Astyanax mexicanus: one gene and its partner. The protein of the gene in region 1 binds, or shares a complex with, the protein of each later gene. Links are inferred from orthologs where the notes say so. Each region holds a gene or a part of one and is shown on either strand. Other genes may lie near its edges. The genes, in order: ppp4r4 and serine/threonine-protein phosphatase 4 regulatory subunit 3.

Region 1 (10,115 bases):
TAGTAGAGCTGGGAGAAAAAAGGAGGAGGAGAAAAGGAGAGTGAGACGAGTATAGGAGGCTGTTGCTGCTGTGTTTGGAAAATAAAAGAATTTAAAAGTATTAAGAATGAACTTGTTTGTGTGTCCTTAAATGTGTATCATATCCAGAGGTAAATACCTGAAAATAAAAGCTTACATATAGTTATTTTGTGTGATATTCATCTTTTAATATCATACCCATGTTTTTAGTCTACAACAGAAATAAAGGAATTGGCCTCACTGTTCCAATACCTTTGGAGGGGAGTGTATTTTACCTACCTTTCATTAACAAAAAGGTTAAGCACGTCAGTTGTCCCACACTGAGCTGCAGTAAACACAGGGTCTATGCCATAAATGGTTTTAGCTATTATCTTAGCTCCAGCTTGAAGCAACATTTTGCAAATCTCCAGGTTCTTTTGCCTCACTGCCTCATGTAGCGGAGTTCCATGCTACCGACACTCTCAAGATAAAGGGTTACAGTAGTATCACTGGGTAGCCAGCCTGCTCAGAGGAAACGCAGCTACCCAGCTCTAACACATCAGCAAACAGACGCCTGTGTTAACCAACATCACCTTTTGGAACTGTTATCTACTCACCCAGAAAGAGCATGGCCAATTGTGTTCTCTCAGACTCCGGCTGCTGATGGCAAGCAGCATGACCTGGGATTCCAATCTTAGTGAGAGCACCTTAGTCTAATGGGCCACTTAGAGCCCCCATAACCAAGACAACTCTTTACATTTTAAACCCAAAGTTTAGCCATTTTAAATTCCTACCATTAGCTTGGACTATCAGACATTGCTACCAGTGTCAGGAGGGTGAAAGCTGGAATGCATTTCCTTCAAATAAAAGGATGCTTGATACTGCATATTTTCAGACTATGTTCAAGCAGAGTGATGTGAGGAGAGGGAGGGCCATCCTATAGCCACCCTTTGACAGTGATTTTACAGAAAGCAATGACATTCTCCCAGTGATGTGGTCATTGCTGAGGTCAATGCAACACTCAGGAGCCCCAGTGCTGTAAAATTCTGTGTTCAACTGACTTTCTACTAAAGTTTTTAAGGTAATATGTTTGACTTATAGAGCTGAAGTGACTTTGTCAATTCACTACTTGGAATGCTTCATCAAAACATCAATGTTGCAAGCAAGCAACTGTTTTGATGTTTCTCATATTTACAGTGTCAGTGACTCAAATGTCTGTAACCGAAGCTGTGGTAAAAAAAAAAAAAAGGTCCACATAGTACAAGTGCTGGCTCACTGTAAAGGGTGTGGGTCAGCATCACTTGGATTTGCATGTAGTTTAACAGGTTCTCTATTCCAGTGGTTCTTAAACTTTTTAGACTACATGCCTCCCTTGATCAAACTAAAACGTCCAACAACCACTCACCAGTTTTACTAGTTCGGCCTTGCTTTTGCAATCTGCAAATTATGAATTATTGTTACTGGTCTATGCAGTACGCAAATTAAGACATCTTGGAAAGCTTGAGACAGGGGGAAATAATTGGAGTGAACATGACATACCCTTGAGCCCTAGGGTAATTATTTAATTGTTAATCCTAATGCAGAGACCTGTGGGAATTGTGGAGTCCCACAAGGTTCTAGTGTAGGGCTTTTGGAACTGATGTTAATAATAATAGAACTGTACTTATGTGCGCTTACACTCAGAGTCTACAGGTTAAACACTAAACACAATTTAAATACTTAATATGTGAATTCATGCTGCAAATGTTCTGGGGTTTTCTTTTTGCTGCTGAAGAATTCAAACTGGCACCAGGTCTTTTCCTTCCAGTCCTTCATTGAGTTTATTTTAAAATAATTTATAACCACTTGCTCTGGATCATCTACCTTACAAGAAGAAGACAGACCCCAGTGCATAATCAGAACTTCAGAGGTCATTAGGTGTACTCTGCCAACACTTCACGACATTTGTAACAGCAGGGTCATGAAGAAACATTTCACCCAGTGGTCAACAGCACCCATCCTGCTGTGATTTTCATATTACTATGTGTATATGGAAGATAGAAAAATTATGTATCTCACATGAATTTAAAAATATATTTTTAAGTGTCATGTGAAACCATAAAAGCTAAATTTAAATGAGAGGGGGTAATTACAGAAATATAGGAACCACTTTTGATTTCATAATGAATGATGTGTATATGACAGAAATATGTGTGTAGAAAATTGATACAGTAGCCTGAAGTGAATATTTTAAATGTAAATGTAATGTTAAAATAAAAATGTTTTGTTTCAGGGTAAGTAAAATAACAAAACTTACAAACTAACAAATGCAACAAGTATGCACAGACATGTGAGCTCAAGCCTCAGAATGCTCTTTGGATCTGGCTGGGGTGATCCACTCAACAATCAAAATACCCAAACTAATGTCAAACGTTTAAATAAGACAGACTCATCCAGAATCCTTTCTAGAAAGTTTCTAATAATTTGTAGCTGATGTGCTGCACCTAATTTTATTTTTTTGACATATTAAGAAGCAATACATGTGGGAGTGTCCTTATTACCCCCATATTGTTAAAATAGAAATATACAGCAAGTAAAGCAAATAGGCTGGTGTGATGTAATGCCATACCAATCCATTAGCGACATAAGCAATACATTGGCATAAACTTTATTGTAACAGAACAGAACAGGTGTCAGGATGAGTACAGTATTTGGTGTCAGATAAGTTTGCACTGTAATTAATATTTGCCCCTGCCCTCTATGCCAGTGCAAATTAATAAGCTGTGAATAAGCGCTCTAAAGTTGTTCTACCACATAAATACCTAATACTTATTATACTGAATTGATATCAATGTAAATGGGTCAGTAAATGGATACAATATGTTATATCATTACATATGCCCTCTTTCAATTCATTTAATACATATTTTGCCAAAGTTTACATTTATATGCAAACACTTGACACATTTGAACCCTGTCTTTATGTTTCAGTCTAAGATAAATAGTACACATCCAAAATAACAGACCTTAGCAAAGAGGTTAGAAACAATATTAATTTATGTTAAAAAGAAAATGTAAAATTAATTAAACATCAGTTATCATGATGCAGTCCTACACACATCTGTTCCAAAGGTTTACCCATGTCTTCACACACGGCTGTGGTGGAGACGGTGTTTAGAGTGACCTGCAAAGAAGGGGTCATACTAGGACAGCTTGGAGGGATCCTGGGAAACCCACTGGGTCACAGACACAGAACTACAGACAACATTTCTCCCTAATTCCAAATAAAAAATTGTCATTTAGAGCATGTATTTGTAGAAAATGTGAAATGGCTAAAATATGAGCTTTCAGACCTCAAATAGAGCATAAATTCACAAAAATACTGTTGAAATTGTGGATAAAACCACTACCTCTCAGAGAGGTGGATAGACAGAAAGATGGATAGACAGAAAGAATCAGAGATCTTACTTCACTGTTCACTTTTTTCCCCAGTTTCAGTTACAAAAAGATGTTTACTCAATTCAGCTTAACCTATAAGAGAAAAGACCATCAAAGCTCTAGTGCTTAATGGTAGGTTTTGCTTAGTCATGGTGAACCAAAGGATAAGTTTACATACATGACCTATATAACCTCACTGGAAGAGTGTTGTTTTACTGTCTTTAAATAAGCATGCCCTCCCCTCTCCCCTGCCCAAACTGGTAACAGATAATGTACCTACTGTAATCACTGCAATTACGAAGGCACACTTCATGCTGAAATTTTTTCGTGCTTATTTTTTTGGAAATGAAGAGGATTAATATTAGGATGTTCATCACTGCTGCAGTACCATACTGCAGTCTTTAAACTATAAGTCAGTTGGTCCTAATACTGGTTCTGGAATACCTCTGTCCCTATTTATACCACTATTTAGGTGTTTTTCATGTCTACACATGAATAAAATATGTTACACCAATACAAATTATGTCATTCCTGTTTGCATTTTATCACCTTAAAATAACACACAGTGTTAATCCAAAATAGGGTTTTTAGAACGAGGCTAGAAATTGCTATTTTGTAGGATTGGCAAAAAAGTTTCTTCACAAATGTTTAATATGCTGTTTTTTTTACATTTAAAAGGCACACATGAAGTGCCACATATTAATGTCATACTGAGGACATTAAAACAATGCATTTTTTTCTCATTCACTAGAAGTTTATTAACTTTTAATATGTTTTGTTACTGATTTGGATATTGCATATTGAAGAGATGAAGAGAGATTTAAAGACCGGATTTTTTAAAACATGATTTATGACTTTTTACCCAATAAACATTAAAAAATATAAGTGGGCAGGAACGTCCAGAAAATTAAATATTAGAATAATGCGTGTGTGGCGTGAATGCGGACAGCAGGTGGCGCAATTTCATTACAATTACAAGACAAAACAAAGTTCCATTGCACCACAAAAAGTTTACAATACTCCTGGAACAAGCTCTTTAAGCTTATATTACATTATGTTACAGTACAATGTCACAGAAAATACCCTGAGGCTTGTGTCTATTTTTGATATTTTTCAGTATTTAAACTTTGAATCTGGCAGTTGTTCCTTACACAATCTTAAGGTTATACATGCAAATTTTGTATTATAAATGGCTCAATAGAAATACATGTAAATAATACATTTAAATATTTTTTTCCCTGTACAGTTACAGATAATTGTAAGCTCAACACAGACTTTGTGTGTGTGTGTGTGTGTGTGTGTGTGTGTGTGTGTGTGTTAGAGGGAATAAAAACTTAATATATAAAAATGGCAAGCCAGTTCTTTTGTTGTACCGATAGCTTCAAGATGTGCTGTGTGGTCTGTTGGCTACATTGGGATGTGAAGGGTGGTCTGCATGCAGCTTTCTGGGTGTGCTGGTTTAGGTATGCCACCAGTTTTATTGTGTGCCAGTGGAAGTGCTGGCTGCTTTGGAATGCGCTGAATACTGTACTGGCCGCCTTAGATGTGCCGGGGTGTGCCCACTTCTTTAAGATGTGCTGGATTATAGATATACCAGGTGGAGTGAATGCTGTTTTAGAAGTGCAGATAGCTTGTAAAAAATATATAATGACTAATTTAAATACTTTTTGCTCATCTGATTTTGCACTCATCTTTGATATTGGGAAAAAAGAGAGTTTCTAACTAATGTACTCTGAAAGTAGAGGTATGCAGAGAAGTAAAACGTCTAATTTATTAATTTTATTGTAGTAACCTGTCAGGTTCCTCCTCAGTTTCTTAAAAAAAGTTCTTAAATTCACTTTGTAGGCATATGTATGTATAAATGGGCTTTAGAAAGTTATTTTCAAAAATGTTTTGGTTTGTACTCTATATAATGTGGTTTGGGACTCAATGACAAGGAGAAAATGTGGGTCCCTGGCTGAGACCGGATGAGAACCCCTGGTGTAGAGTACTTCTGATACACAGTAGATGCAGAAAATGCAATTTGTTCTATGACCTAGTGAGTAAAAACTGCTTTAGTTTTTCTTGATGTTCTTTTTTAGATCAATTACCTCGTTTTTGTATGCAATCAAGAAACTACATATTACAGTAATTTGTTGTATTTTAAGAGTATATATATCTGTGATAAGGGGTGTGATTATTGTGATTGCTGCATAAATTTGGGATTTTTCGGTGAACCATCCCTTTACGTCAGAAGTCAGAACTGTCCAATAGGAGAGGAGCTAAGTTTTGGTCAGAGTTTATGCAGGAGGAGAAGTCCTGCTTTTACGTCTCTCTGGTGCTGCATCAGACTCCTGTTTACGCGTGTTTTTCTCTGTGTCCACGGCTTTTGTGCTCTCTCTGCAGGTCATCATCACGGGCTGATGACGAGCTGAAGTCCGCGCGCCGTGACGCGCCTGAGCTGCTCTACACTACGGTGGCATGCGGTCTCCATGGCAACCGGCTGAGTTGGTGCAGTGCGTTTGCGTGGTGTGGAGCGGTTTGTTCTGGCTGCACAATTTTTACTCCCAGCTCTTTTAACGTCGGAAAACCAGCGCTGTGTACAGCGGAGCGGACACGGAGCGTATCTAGCGCATTTCAGACATTACTGTGATCAGAGCTGGGCGGCGGGGGACGGTTATAATGAGAGGTTTTCGTAGCGTTTCGGAGACTGGCGGAGTCGTGAGTGAGTGGACGGGCTGCTGCCTCGAATGATCAACTTAGCTTTAGGTTAGCTGGAGCTAAATAACGCTAAGATAGCTAACCGACAGAATTTATGTAAGAGCTGGGTTAGCTATAGCTAGCTAACTGTCTGTACCAGCTAGTTTAAGGCTTTTCACGTCGAAGAGGTAGCTTATCTAACGAGCTTTAACTAGCTTTAGCCTCACACTAACGATTTTTTCGGTTGGGTTTTGGACTTTATGAACGACTATCGACTTTATAAACGACTTTATGAACGCGTCACGTCTGATAGTAATTAATTAGTTAACTAGCTTAGTTAATTAGCTAGCTGGGTTTGATAGGTTTGTTCTTATGGCTTGTAGTGATGGTTTGGCCTGCAGTTAACTAAACTAGCTAGTTAGGTAGCTTAACTAGCTAGTCAGAGAAGGCTAGGTAGGTTAATAAGCTAACGCTAGTTAGTTAGTTAGCTAACAGCTAGTTAACTATCTAAGGCAAACGTCGCCCGCCACTTAGTCCCTCAGCCTGCCAGCCAGTCATTCTCATCGGCTGTGTATAAGTGTGACCGGTGTTCTGTCAAGTTGTGTTATGCTTCTATATGTGCTTCTTACACCAGTGCGCAAGCGCAGATCTGCATTTTTTTTGTTTTAATGTAAGTTTTCATGTGTTTTTCCGGTAATTCTGTTTTTAATCGCCCTGCCTCTATTTGAATTTGTATTGCAAATGTGTAAATGGCAGTTAATAATAAAAGTAATAATAAGACTATAAAAATATATAAAAACTGGTTCTACTCTACTCACTTTTCCTTTAACTGATATATTGATTGAGACTTTCAAAAAAAATCATACCGAGACTTTTTTAGCGTGCATTTTTAAATATGGTGCTTTTTATCTGGTATTTTTGCGTTTAAATACTCACTTGGGTAGCACGGTTTGACGGGGTAGCACAAATCGACAGAACACCCGTATGTGTGTGGATGTAAGTGTGTGACAGCTACGGCAATGGGAAAACTAGCCTTTGCACAGCCACCCATATTCCTCACAAAGTTCAACAGCATCCCTCGTTCACGGGAATCCCAGCTCTGCGTCGCGTGGTTTTGCCAACGCCAGTGCTTTTCCACCTCCTTCCCGACTGGATACGACTAGAGGCTTCTGAACACAGCAGAGCATCTTCAGCAGGAGCAGCACCACCACCACCACCCGATGAATTAGTTATAGCCAGCCATCTAACCTAACCTAGCTAAGTCCTGCTATAACCTGAAGGAGGGATACTGTTTTTCTTCTTTTTCTTGTCGTGGGAGGAACAGCTCCTTCTTCTCCCAGGAAAAGTCGAATCAGCGTTAAGACTTAGCTAAGGACCTGCAGTCATGACTGAGGAGCTGTAACAGACAAGAGAGGACTTCTTCTCTCTCCATCACATCCATAAACAGCACCAAACCAAACCGGGACCAGATGTTTGTCGGCAAAATGACTCTTAGCCAGTCCGGTCTGTTTGGGCAGATAGATGACCTGCAGGACCTCACGTTCATCGAGAGACCTATACGCAGGAGCCTAAAGGTAACGAGAGTTAAATAGTTATCTCAACTACATTCACCTAGCCAACATAACTAGCTAACAATCATTTATTCATTTTCAGTTAGGGGTTTATCATGTTCTTTTTATTGAGCAACCATGAAATTGCTTGAGGTTGAACCTGTTTTTTAGTTTATGTAAGAGAGTATGTATAGCGTTATCTAAGTGGCAGGCTGTGTATTATAAATATGAAGGCGTGTGTGTTAAATTAAGCTAACAAGCTCACCTTAACATCATTTGATCCCCTAATCCCTAATGAAATAGTGATAACTAGCTATCCTTATTCTCTGTGGCGAGAAACAGGTGGATTTTGATTTGCTTCAGATGGGTCATTGATTTGCTTCATGTGCCCTTCTGTTCTGTTAAACACCTACCCAAACTGTTTCAGATACTAGATTATTATTATTCTTTAGCTCTAAGGTAAATTCATTGCTGCTGCTCCTCATTGAGAAGAAGCACGGTATGTGAGGAGTTACTGTGGAGGAGGCTAGACGCTGCTGCTGCTGCTGCTGCTGGTAGGGAGGCTGGGGGTTGCCCACATCGCTTTAGAGAGAGAGTGACGCAGTTTCTGTCAGCTGTGCGCATCCCTACCTTGCCTCCTCCACGCCACTCCACTGCAGTATGTCTACCAGATTTCACAGGCTTTCTACCATGCCCAATAACAGCATTCCTACTTATGTAGCTAGCTAGATGTGTAAAGCTGTATTTATTATCCTATACGCCACAAGCCATGAAAGCTGCTCTACCTCCAGCAGCAGAATGAAGAAGATGAGATTACTCTCATCCTCTCTTGCCCGAATATAGGCTTATCACACACCGGATGGAAGGAATTTGTTGCGTACGAGGAGGGCGGGTGTTTTCTACCCATGCTCGATTTTTTTGTAGGGAGGTTCCTGCAAGAAGCTTTTCGGCTAATGAGAGAAGCCCTGAAGTAATAGACTCGTCGCCCACATGGCTCCCGTCCCCCACACTTTCTTCCCACGCAGTCCATCGTGCTTCACATCCTGCCTCGCTGCAAACCCCCTCACACATTTGGCTGAGTCATCTTTAAGCCGTAATGGAATTGGTTGATGTCCATCCACCTATTTCATATAAAGATTCTTATGAAGCATAGGTTTATTTTGACGTGAGATACTCAAGGCCGCCTGTGTGTGCAAAGGATTACATGACATATCTGCCCTGTTGTCTGCCAGCCATTAAATATACTCGGTTATTTTAAACACTGTCTGTTTAGTACAAGTAAAAATAAAGTTCAAGATTTTAAGATCAATCAATATGTTTTTATTATATTTGTTTATGTATGTATTTATGCATGTATATATCCTTTTATGTTTTTCAGACTGCAGAAGAGATTGACAAGTTAACTGTTGATGAAGATCTGAATGACATAGAGCGGGCAGTCTACCTCCTCAGGTAAAGACAATGGCAAATTCTCTACAATATTAATGTACAGAAATTGCTTATTGAACTTTTGGACCACAAGCTCTAAAATGGTTCAACACTACAAAAGCCAATAATAATTATAATAAAACAGAATAATCACAATAGCCATATTTGAATTATCTTGATTTCCACTTCGGGCTCTCAGAACTGAAAAAAATAGTGACAGATTTTAAGGAATCAGGAGTCACAAGGAGTCACATATATCATTCTTATTTCTTAAACTCAAACAGCAAAAATAAGTGAAGGCTACATTCGTACAGGGATTTTGTTGGTTTCTGTTAAGGTATAGGTTTTAGCTGTTTATAATTTGAGATTATTGTGCTCTATCATACAAAAATGAAGTATTATTATGTATCTACATTTTTAAAACAAGCATAAGTTTAATTATTGTGTTTTTCCTGTACCAGAAAGCCTGCAGAATCTTGAGACTGGTTTAGGGGTGTACAATTTTGGTCAATAAACTGTCATTTTATAATTTTTCTTCATATTTCTCCAGATAATACAATAAATAATATGTAAATACACAGAATGGACAGCTTCAGCACAGGTCCATTTGAACTCAGTGTAGTGTAGGTAACCAAAGATTAAAATAATTGTGAACTTGTAATGTGAAAATAAATTGGAAAACATGAATTCAGTTACCTTCTTTTCCATGTATAACATGCAGAATTTGACATTTTACACCCCCTCTTGTATTATTATAAAAAATATTTATTTATTAATATATTAATGTAAAACATTATGTGGTTTGAATTAAATAGTCGTTATTTAATACCATAAGGTGTAGTCTGCAGTATGGGAGCCCTTTATACAAAAATCCATATTCTAATAGATTGTCAGGCTTGTTTTCTTGTGCATAATTTTGCCCTAGTTGTTTGTTCATAGCTAAAATAACACTAACATGTATTTGGGTAAAGCTGTACGCTTCATGACTTCTCATCGCCTACTGCCTGATGTAGAGCGTACAGCTCAGCTGGTCATGGGATGCTG
Region 2 (10,734 bases), on another chromosome or scaffold:
GTTTTTTTGTTTTGCTGAATTGTACAGGGACATTGGTGTCATGGTGAAACTGTACCCCAACATGACTCCAGTGCTTCTTCATAACTCACAGCTGGATCATAAACGGGTATGGCCTACTCATAAGGAAATGCAACAATTAAATTGGATTCAGTGAATTAATAATGTGATATTAAAAAAGGAAAACAAAGAATGGATGGATGGGTTTATTTTTTTATTTTGTTGTGTTTAACAGATCAAACATCCCAGTGCTCTTGGATTAGAGGTTGGTCAACAAATTCAGGTATGAACTTTTTATGACTTCCAAAGGGTAAATACATTCAAAAGTATTCAGAAATATATATATATATATATATATATATATATATATATATATATATATATATATATATATATATATATATATACAGGTGCTGGTCAACGAATTAGAATAATTTGAAATAGTGCAATCATGAAATTCTTTGAATGCATTTTTTGTGCAGAAAGCAAATCAGGTGTTCACCGCACCTGTCCTACTCGTTAGACTAATCACAGAACTCGTTACCTGGAAAAAAATTTGCTCAGCTGAGCTTTCCAAAAGGCCCATTTAGGCCATTTAACTGTGAAACTGTTGTTTTGTTGAATTAGAATAATGGAGAAACCGTTTCATTGAATTAAAATAAATGCTCGAATTTTTGTTTTCTGTGAAGAGTGTTCACTGTGCAGTATAAAGTCAGGGTTGAGTAGAATTTCTAAGTTGTAAAATCAATCATGGGTAAGCAGCGCGACCTCTCAACCGGAATAGTGGCTCAAATTCAAGCCCTTCGCCAACAAGGCTTGACCCAAACTAAAATTGCTGCAGTCTTCCGTCTGCAAAGCTCTCAAGAAAAACTGCAGCAAGCGCACCAACTGTTCCGGCGTCCGAAAAACTTCTGCTCGCGACAACAAGCAGCTGAGAAAGATCGCAGTCAGCAACCGGTTCAAGTCCACTTCCGAGCTCACCGACTTGTGGAACAAGCAGACCGGCGCTGACGTCTCCAGATCAACCACTTACCGTCGTCTGCGCGAACTTGGCTTCAAATCTCGCGTTCCAGCAGTAAAACCGATGCTGAACAAGAAACAAATGGAGAAACGGCTGAAGTGGGCCAAAGAACACGGCGAGTGGACTGCTGAAGACTGGCAGAAAGTGGTCTTCAGTGACGAATCACGCTTCTGCATCTCCTTCGGTGACCAAGGTCCTTGTGTCTGGCGTCGTGGTGGCGAAACCTACAACCACGAGTGCGTGAAAAGATCCGTCAAGTTTCCCCAGAGCGTTATGGTCTGGGGATGCATGTTCGCTCGAGGTGTAGGGAAACTCTGCTTCCTCAAGAAGACTGTCAATGCTGCCGTATATCAAGATGTTCTGGAAACGTTCCTGATTCCGACTGTTGAGGAACAGTTCGGCGAAGAAGACTTCATATTTCAACAGGATCTTGCACCGGCTCATGCGGCAAAGTCGACCAAAGATTGGTTCACTAAAAAACAGCTTGAAGTTTTGGCATGGCCGGCCAACTCGCCTGACCTCAATGTCATTGAAAACCTTTGGGCCATCGTCAAGCGGAAAATTCGCGACAGAAAGCCTACTACGCTGGACCAACTGAAGCAGAACATCGCCACTGCCTGGGAAGCTGTGAGTGCGGAAACTTGCGACAAGCTGGTCAAATCGATGCCGCGGAGACTTCAGGCAGTCATACAAGCCAAGGGGGCAGCCACAAAATACTGAGAAAGTGATGATTGTAATTATAATAAAAATTATTCTAATTCAATGAAACGGTTTCTCCATTATTCTAATTCAATAAAACAACAGTGTCACAGTTAAATGGCCTAAATGGGCCTTTTGGAAAGCTCAGCTGAGCAGATTCCAGGTAACGAGTTCTGTGATTAGTCTAACGAGTAGGACAGGTGCGGTGAACACCTGATTTGCTTTCTGCACAAAAAATGCATTCAAAGAATTTCATGATTGCACTATTTCAAATTATTCTAATTCGTTGACCAGCACCTGTATATATATATATATATATATATATATATATAGTGAGGAAAATAGGTATTTGAACACCCTGTGACTTTGCAAGTTCTCCCATCATGGAGGGGTCTTCATCTTAGGTGCATGTCCAATATGAGAGACATAATCTTAAAAAAAAAAGACCAGAAATCACCATGTATGATTTTGTTCATAATTTATTTGTGTGTTACTGCTGCAAATAAGTATTTGAACACCTGTGAAAATCAATGTTAATATTTGGTACAGTAGCCTTTGCATGAAATTACAGAGGTCAAACGTTTCCTGTAGTTTTTCACCAGGTTTGCACACGCTGTAGCAGGGATTCTGGCCTATTCCTCCAAACAGATCTTCTCCAGATCAGCCAGGTTTCTGGGCTGTCGCTGAGAAAAACGGAGTTTGAGCTTCCTTCAAATATTTTCTATAGGGTTTGGGTCTGGAGACTGGCTAGGCCACTCCAGAACCTTGACGTGCTTCTTACGGACCCACTCCTTGGTTATCTTGGCTGTGTGCTTTGGGTCATTGTCATGTTGGAAGACCCAGCCACGACCCATCTTCAGTGCTCTAACTAAGGGAAGGAGGTTGTTCCCCAGAATCTCGCAATACATGGCCTTGGTCATCCTCTCCTTAATACAGTGTAGTCGTCCTGTCCCATGTGCAGAAAAAAAACGTCCTCAAAGCATGATGCTTCCACCCCCATGCTTCACAGTAGGGATGGTGTTTTTGGGATGGTACTCGTCATTCTTCATCCTCCAAACACGTCAAGTGGAATTAAGAATAAAAAATTCTATTTTGGTCTCATCTGACCACATAACTTTCTCCCACGACTTCTCTGGATCATCCAAATGGTCATGGGCAAATTTAAGATGGGCCTGGACTTGTGCTGATTTAAGCAGGGGAAACATCCGTGCCATGCATGACTTTAAACTATGACATCATAGTTCTTCAGGTCATTGACCAGCTCCTCCCGCGAGTTCTGGGCTGATTCCTTACCTTTCTTATGATCATTGATATGCCGGGAGGTGAGATCTTGCATGGGGCTCCATTCTGAGGGAGATTGACAGTCATGTTTAGCTTCTTTCGTATTTTAATAATTGCTCCATCAGCTGATCTTTTTCCACCAAGCTGCTTAACAATTGCCCCATAGCCCTTTCCAGCCTTGTGGAGGTCTACAACTTTGAACAGCGTTTTGGTCTTAACTATGTTAGTAGTTGGAGTCTTACTGATTGTGTAGGCAGGACAGGTGTCTTTATGCAGCTAACATCCTCAAACAGGTCCTTCAAAATTAGAATAATAAGTGGATTGGAGGTGGACTTTTTAGAGGCAGACTAACCGGTCTTTGAGGGCCAGAATTTTTGCTGATTGGCAGGTGTTCAAATACTTATTTGCAGCAGTAACACAATCAATTATTTAAAAATCATTTTTTTTCATGTTTTTTTTTTTAGATGTTTTTTAGATGTCTCTCACAGTGGACATGCACCTAAGATGAAAATTTTAGACCCCTCTATGATTTCTAAGTGGGAGAAATTGCAAAGTCGCAGGGTGTTCAAATACTTATTTTCCTCACTGTAAGTGTCTGACTAATGTAGATTGTAAAACAATTAAAGCATTAGTGCTGAATTCTCACATATGAATTCTTACTTAGTGCTGCTTAAATGTGCTGTTTAAACGATGTGTGTTATACCTGCATTTACAGGTGAAATATTTTGGACGTGACCCGACAGATGGAAGGATGAGGTTGTCTCGTAAAGTGCTTCATTCTCCTACAGCCACAGTGGTGAAGACTCTTAATGACAAACAGAGTATCACTATGGGAACAACACACGGCCTGTCTGAGACTTCCCCCTGACCTGCAGGACTGCTCAGGAGTATTAGGGGCATGTAGGGTATCAGCAATTCAGTGTATTTCTTTGTTCAGTTTCCTTCACTCAGACATTGAGAGGGGGGTTCACTCCAGCCTTCTCACATTAACGGATATAAGAGAACATGGGGATCTCATGTTTTTATTTATGTAACCATAGTCCAGTACATTTAGATATTTCATGAGTGGGTATTGTTTTATAGGATATTTTTGTTTATATGCACTTTTTTAACAAATAAAAAATTGGGAAAATAAATTTGGCTTCTGTGGTCAAGAATGTCAATCAATTGTGAAATCCTTTAGAGGAAATGTTTCCTGTTTAAAGTTTAAACAAATAACACCCGAATTGTTGCAAATCTCAGCATGTGCCTCAGGCAGTATGTTTTCAGGTGTGGTCTGATTATAGGACACTGAATCTTGCCATTAGGAGTGTGTTAAAGTGTTTACATTTCAGAAGGTACTTTTAGGAATTGTACCTCTTGGTGAGAGATATATTGTTTGTATTAATCTTTACATTCATTAAATGTTTAACTTGTTTGCATTTTCTTTTTGCTGGTACTATGTGTTCTTGCAGTGTATGTATGAAGGGACATTTAAAGGGGGTTCCTGCAGTAGTTTAAACACATTAGACAGGTCTGTTTTATTTGAACAGGTGTTACTGTTACTGCTTTTTGACCTGCCAAAGAGACAGAATAAATACACCAATAATTCAAATATTAAAATTCATTATACATAAACCTACACTCAGTGGCTTATAAAAGGGTAGCACCCAATTTCAAAAGTCTCCGGACGTCCAAAACGGACGTGTTAACCGCCCTCCTTCGCACCAAATGCGCCTTTATTTATTAATTAATTAATTTATTTATTTGTTCGTCTGTTTGTTTGTTTGTATTTTGGGCAGTTATATTTGTTATGTTCTTATTATTATGTTTTATGTTCTTTGTTAGGTAAATGTCAAAATAACCATAATTATCATTTAATGAATTAATGATTATTGCAATAATTTTGACATTTACCTGACAAAGCGTTATGGAAAAATCCCTCCCAAAACTACCTTTATTTAACATTGCCTAATAGGCATTGGTTAGTGTTGAAATTCTGACATGGAATCAATGTTCATTTAAATGTTTAGAATGGTTGGGGCTTTGAATCTACACTTACAATGATTTTAGGTGAAAGGTGCTTCCTACAAATAATAATATACATTTTAATAATAATTATTAAAGTGTCTTCTTCTACACTGCAAGACCACAGTGCTGGGAGACGTGTGTTGAAATCGCAATTTCATATAAATTGATTTATCTTTTGAGAAAAAAATATCAAATGAATTATAATAAAAAAAAACTATGGTTACATTAGCAGCAAAAAAGAGTGCATTATTTGCAATGTAATTAGGGTAAGTGGGGACATGAATACAAGTTTGCTGTCTTCTATTGGACAACACTTTTTGTTGTTTTATATCATAATACAAAGACACTAGTTATAATTAATGGTGATTTAAATGGTTGATGACTTAATGGTTTTCAATCATTTAAATCTTTGAAGTAGATTCAGAGACTTGCCAAAAGTAAATTTAAAAAAATCTTTGAAAATATTACAGGATTCCCAAATAATTTCCGATGTTCCTTTTTTGTCCTCTTTTTATTGTTTATTTTTGTATATAATTTAATAATAATGAGAAAACGAACTAACAAACCTGCGCGTTTTCCCTGCCGATCCCCAGTCGGCTGCCGTAGCCCCTCTCGGGAGACCCCGCGGCGGAACAGTGCTTTGATTGATGTTTTAAGGGAGAAAAGGGGAGTTCGATTCAACTCACAGAACCGACTCTTTTGAACTGTCCGATTAATGAGTTGAACGTCGGATTCAGAGATTCACTTCCGTTCACTTTGGATTTCATCAGCACACACTGAGTTAACAAAATATAATATTTATTTTATAGAAAACACCAAGCTTTTAATTAGTATTTCTGGAAAAGTATTACATAGCATGGGCCTATTATACAAAATACAAAACATAAATTACCTCACATTTATGTATACAATTATTCTTTCTACTTAGTAATTTAGTTGGTAATTTATGGTAATCTTAAAAAATACACCTTTGTATTAATGATATAAATAAGATAATAATAAAAAATATACCAATAACAAAAAAACATATTTGCTTGCCTCTTTTAGGAATAAAAATGCAAATATGGCATTTGTTTTGTGTCAAAATTTCATGACAAATAAAAAGAAGAAATACACATGTTCTAGCTAAATAAACTTAATTAGACATTAAGACAACACTGATATTATTTGTTCTGCTATGTATGTGTGTACAGTATATGCTTTAATTGCAGCTAATGCCTTAATGTCTAATTGAATGTATTTACTGTTTCGCTATTGTTTTTTCTTTATTATTTTGTTTAAGGCATATCCACAATGTTATAGTCACCCTGTAGCTATGTTTACTGTCTAAATAAACAAAGAAAAGAGAAATTCTCTCTTATTTTGTACCTGCACTGAGAATTTCGGAAGGTATTCTGTAGCAACAAAATGAACAAGCTAAAAAGAAAATCTCTTCTGTTAAATGAAAATATTAAAGAGCTGTATAAAATCACAACATTAAAAAAAAAAAAAAAAATATATATATATATATATATATATATATATATATATATATATATATATATATATATATATATATACTATTAATAATACTGATTTAATGCTATTATTTTTTTTTATAAAAATACATTACATTATCACACATTATCTCTATTTTTTTCCAGAGCTTTGTATGGGGTTTAACTCGTTGGAGCTTGTGAACCGATTCTACTGTCTGAGTCACGATTCGTTTGGTTGTAGAGTCACCATCACTAACACCAGATCGGATTACAAGATGGCGGTCGGTGGGTGAGAGAATACGGCCGCTGGAGATCAAACTGGTCTGGGGGTTGTTTTTAGTGAGCGGAGTGCTGGTAAATGAGGAGCGGGAGATCTTCGGGCTGGTAGAGAGTGGAGAAGTGCGTTTCTGAGCTCGTGTGGGGGAACATGCGGTTAGTAACAGAGTTTAAAGCCCGGGGTTGAGGAAAAAACAGCGGAGAAAACAACAGCGGCGGCGGCGGCGGCGTTCACGGAGCCGATTCACCGAGACCGACCATGTCGGACACCAGGCGGCGGGTTAAAGTTTACACGCTCAACGAAGACCGACAGTGGGACGACAGAGGGACCGGGCACGTCTCCTCTACTTATGTGGAGAGACTGAAGGGAATATCGCTGCTGGTTCGGGCTGAATCCGACGGTAAGGCTAATGCTAAAGCAAGGATAAGCTAAGCTAAGCTAAGCTACATGAAACGGTTAGCTTGTTAGCTAGTCAGTTTAGCTAGCTATCTATTTATCTTAATGCTGTCTATACGCTACACGACTTTAAAAAGACTCTGAAAAGGCTTTTAACAGAATAAAGTCTAAAGATTAGACTCACGTTTAGTGACAGGATAAGATGTAGTAAACACTGATGATAACTGTTAACTGTTTTCAGGACTGCAACTAGATTCTTTTTGAGATTATTTCCCATCATGCTTTTGGTGGAGTTTAACGTTACACACAATACAAATTACATATTTAGTTACAAGTAATAAGTATTTCAATATTGTGATTTATCAGAGACTCACAACTTTTGTCCCCAACAACAGTTTATTTTTCCGCCACACTGTTAGTTCTTGATATTTTTAATAGAATACATTGTGTTTAACTCCGCCTATAAAACCTCTTAAAATGCCTTGTCCCGTGTAAGGGCTACAGGTGTAGGTGATACAAAACCCCCTTTTCTCCTTTGGAGTGAAATAACTTATTTACATTCTGAAAATTTTGAGGGATTTGAAATCTCCTACAGGACACTTAGAGAAGCTGTCTGTCCACTCTCTACTCAACTTAATAATTCCATGCCAGTAAAATGAATCAACCCTAATTCTGTATGTTTAAAAACAGACGTAAAAACTAGACAACCATAATGAAACTAAAGGTTTGGAGGACATTAACTGTTTGATTTGTATTTAGGAAAATATTTATTTTAAAATAAAGGTCAGGAAAGAGCCAATTTAATGATTTTATTCGTTATATTTTGACATTTACAGATTTTTTATTTCTGTTTCTGCAAAAATTAATCTCAGAGAGGTACCCACTAGAGACCACTCTAGTTTCATAATCAGTTTCTTTGATCTTGCTGTTTATAGGTATATGTTTGAGTAAAGTGAACATTGTTGTAGAAATGCTTATAAAAATGCACTGCTTTCAAACATCAAACAATGAGAAAAAAACAAGTCCACATTCATAACGTTTTAAGAGTTATTTAAACTCCACACTTAATTGGAAGTACCAAAACATTTAAAATAGTTTGTACTGAAGTATTTCAAGCAATTTATTTAAAAAAGGCTGCAAAATTAATCAAATTAATTTGATTAAATGTATTACTTTTTTTTGGCATAGTAATCACTATTGTTTATCTTTACATACTATATAAGCTACCAGAGGAAATCTCAGTAGGTTAATTTAAATTAAATGGAAAAACAATACCTCCCACATCACTTTAAATGTGCTACTTGTTTACAAATGAAAACATAATTAGGTTGTTGTGTACAAAGCCTGTTAAAGTAAAAAAAAAGGAATGGTCCTTTACGTGAATGCTGACATTTTTAATCAAGGCAAGGTTGAGTGTTGCTTGTACAATAACAACAGACTTAAACTAGCAATTTCTAGGCAAGTAAACATTCATTGTTTCTTATTAACTTAGATTAGGTGGTAAGTATAGAGTAAAGGCTATCAGGATTTTAAAAGAGTGATAAGGAGAGAGACTACTAAGCAGTCAACAGGTCATCCAGAGTGTTGCCCAATGTGTTAGTACGACTTTCCTATGCTTTTTTTTAATGCTGGGATTGATTTATTTATTTATTTATTTAAGTTCGCATTATGAGGATAAATGTAAATAAGTATAATGAATAATACTATTTAAATCTTATAATGAATGTAAACAAAAATGGATGTTACTGTGCTGAGTTAGTCCTTCACGTAATAAAAGGTAAAAAAAAAAAACTATGCTTACTGTAAATATACCTAAATAAATCAGAAATCGAATTGAATTTCTGATTCAGATTTGAATAAATTCCGTAAATAACTGGTGATTATACCCTACTGTTCATATACACTTCATCTGTTTTGATTTTATATACAGCATGCGACTGTGTAATTAATCATCCCTTTCACTTTCATATTGGTGAATGATGCATGTACTGAATCTTGATAGATGTCTGTTTAGATGTGGAACAGCTAATCAAGTTCACATTTCTTCAGCAGGATATAGTGCCACCTTTGAGTCATGTTGTTTTTGATGTTAATCATCTAACCACTGACAAGCCAGTCACCCTTTGTAAATGGTCTTACACACTTAAAATGTTTAGGCCTGGTGGACTGGGCTTTTTCTACACATATACAACAGTGATGAATCTGTGGACGGTTGTATTTAAAACAGGTCAAAGAAAGAATCTTTACTACGGGACACTTCATCTTTATGTAATTATGTAATTATTTTGACAGCAAAGCAATTTAAGTGCCACTCCTCAATCTCTTATTAACTTTGGGTAAATTTTGTGATGTGTGCTTTCTGGATTTTTTTTTTTTTCAGGCTCACTTTTGTTGGAGTCCAAAATCAGTCCAAATACAGCATATCAAAAGCAACAAGTAAGTGTTGATCCACAGTTTTGTGTTTTGGGTTAATTATTGGTTTCAATCTTTAAAGGACACTTGCTATCTATACAGCTTCTTATTTCTGTAAATGTTCATGTTTTTCTCTTAGGATACACTCATCGTTTGGTCCGAAGCAGAAAATTATGATCTTGCCCTAAGTTTCCAGGAAAAGGCAGGTTGTGATGAAATCTGGGAGAAGATCTGTCAGGTAAACAGTTAAATGTGTTTTTGCAAATTATCTGTTACTGAGGCTGGAAAATCAAGTAGTTATTTCTACGTATCTTCTAGCAGTATATTGAGAAGAACTCAAAAACAAAGTTTGTACCAATGTAAAGCAGTGTTTTTCCTTTAATTGTGTAATTGTGTTTAATTTATCGTAATACAGGTGTGAGGTTATTACCCATGGTTTACAGAAATGCCAAGCACACGTTCTGGATGGGACAGTCTTAGCAGCTTATATTTTTAAAATTGGTATACCTAAAATGTGTTGTTAAATATTGCTCTGATAGAAACTTTTACTGTAATACATTTCACAAATGGGCAGTCTAAAAAGTGAGAATAATTGTGCCTAAATACCTGCTGGTGCTTTTTCTTTTCACACCGGCTGTATAAAAAGGCTGTGTAGGCTATGTTCGGTTCACTACTTGCTTTCCAGCCCTGCTGTAGTTCACAGGGAATGCACAGTAGTCCCACACAGTTGATTTAACAGCAACAGGCGGGTCCTATAGCTCCTGTGTATTAGAGGTGTGCCAAAAAATCGATTCACATAAGAATCTTGATTCTCATTTACTACGATTCAGAATCGATTTAAAATGTCCCAAAATCGATTCTGAGGGGCGGGTTTTGGACTGATTTTGGGCTGGGTATTTTTGTTGGACCTGGCAACCCGCTTGTCCCTTCAAACCGAGGTCTTCCAGACACACACAGAGCGTAGGTGTTTGAGAATCACCGGTAAGATGGCAGAACAAGCACTATATTACCTTAGATTAACGTGTAGTTTCAATGTTTTATGGCAGAATGCTTCATAACAAGCATAAAAAAGATCGCTAGTAGTTAGTTTCAGTAACTGTTAGCTAGCTAACAAGCTAACTTTCCAGTTCCACCTTAAATAACGCTACAGGTGGCTGCGGGCT

What was found.
Region 2: ppp4r4 (region 1) and serine/threonine-protein phosphatase 4 regulatory subunit 3 share a complex: the UniProt entries of both Homo sapiens proteins name them as parts of the PP4 complex. The link is inferred for Astyanax mexicanus from reciprocal best matches to the Homo sapiens genes PPP4R4 and PPP4R3B.

What each region holds. Positions count from the first base shown.
Region 1 is NC_064408.1:77,291,791-77,301,905, forward strand, and holds the start of ppp4r4 (serine/threonine-protein phosphatase 4 regulatory subunit 4), read left to right. Parts: upstream 1-5,747; 5' UTR 5,748-7,562; coding exon 7,563-7,667; intron 7,668-9,021; coding exon 9,022-9,095; intron 9,096-10,115. UniProt on the Homo sapiens protein: Putative regulatory subunit of serine/threonine-protein phosphatase 4.
Region 2 is NC_064432.1:16,151,825-16,162,558, reverse strand, and holds the start of serine/threonine-protein phosphatase 4 regulatory subunit 3, read left to right. Parts: upstream 1-6,738; 5' UTR 6,739-7,021; coding exon 7,022-7,163; intron 7,164-9,539; coding exon 9,540-9,595; intron 9,596-9,710; coding exon 9,711-9,809; intron 9,810-10,734. Other genes in the region: polyribonucleotide nucleotidyltransferase 1, mitochondrial, read left to right, coding at 28-106, 233-280, 3,714-3,866. UniProt on the Homo sapiens protein: Regulatory subunit of serine/threonine-protein phosphatase 4 (PP4). May regulate the activity of PPP4C at centrosomal microtubule organizing centers.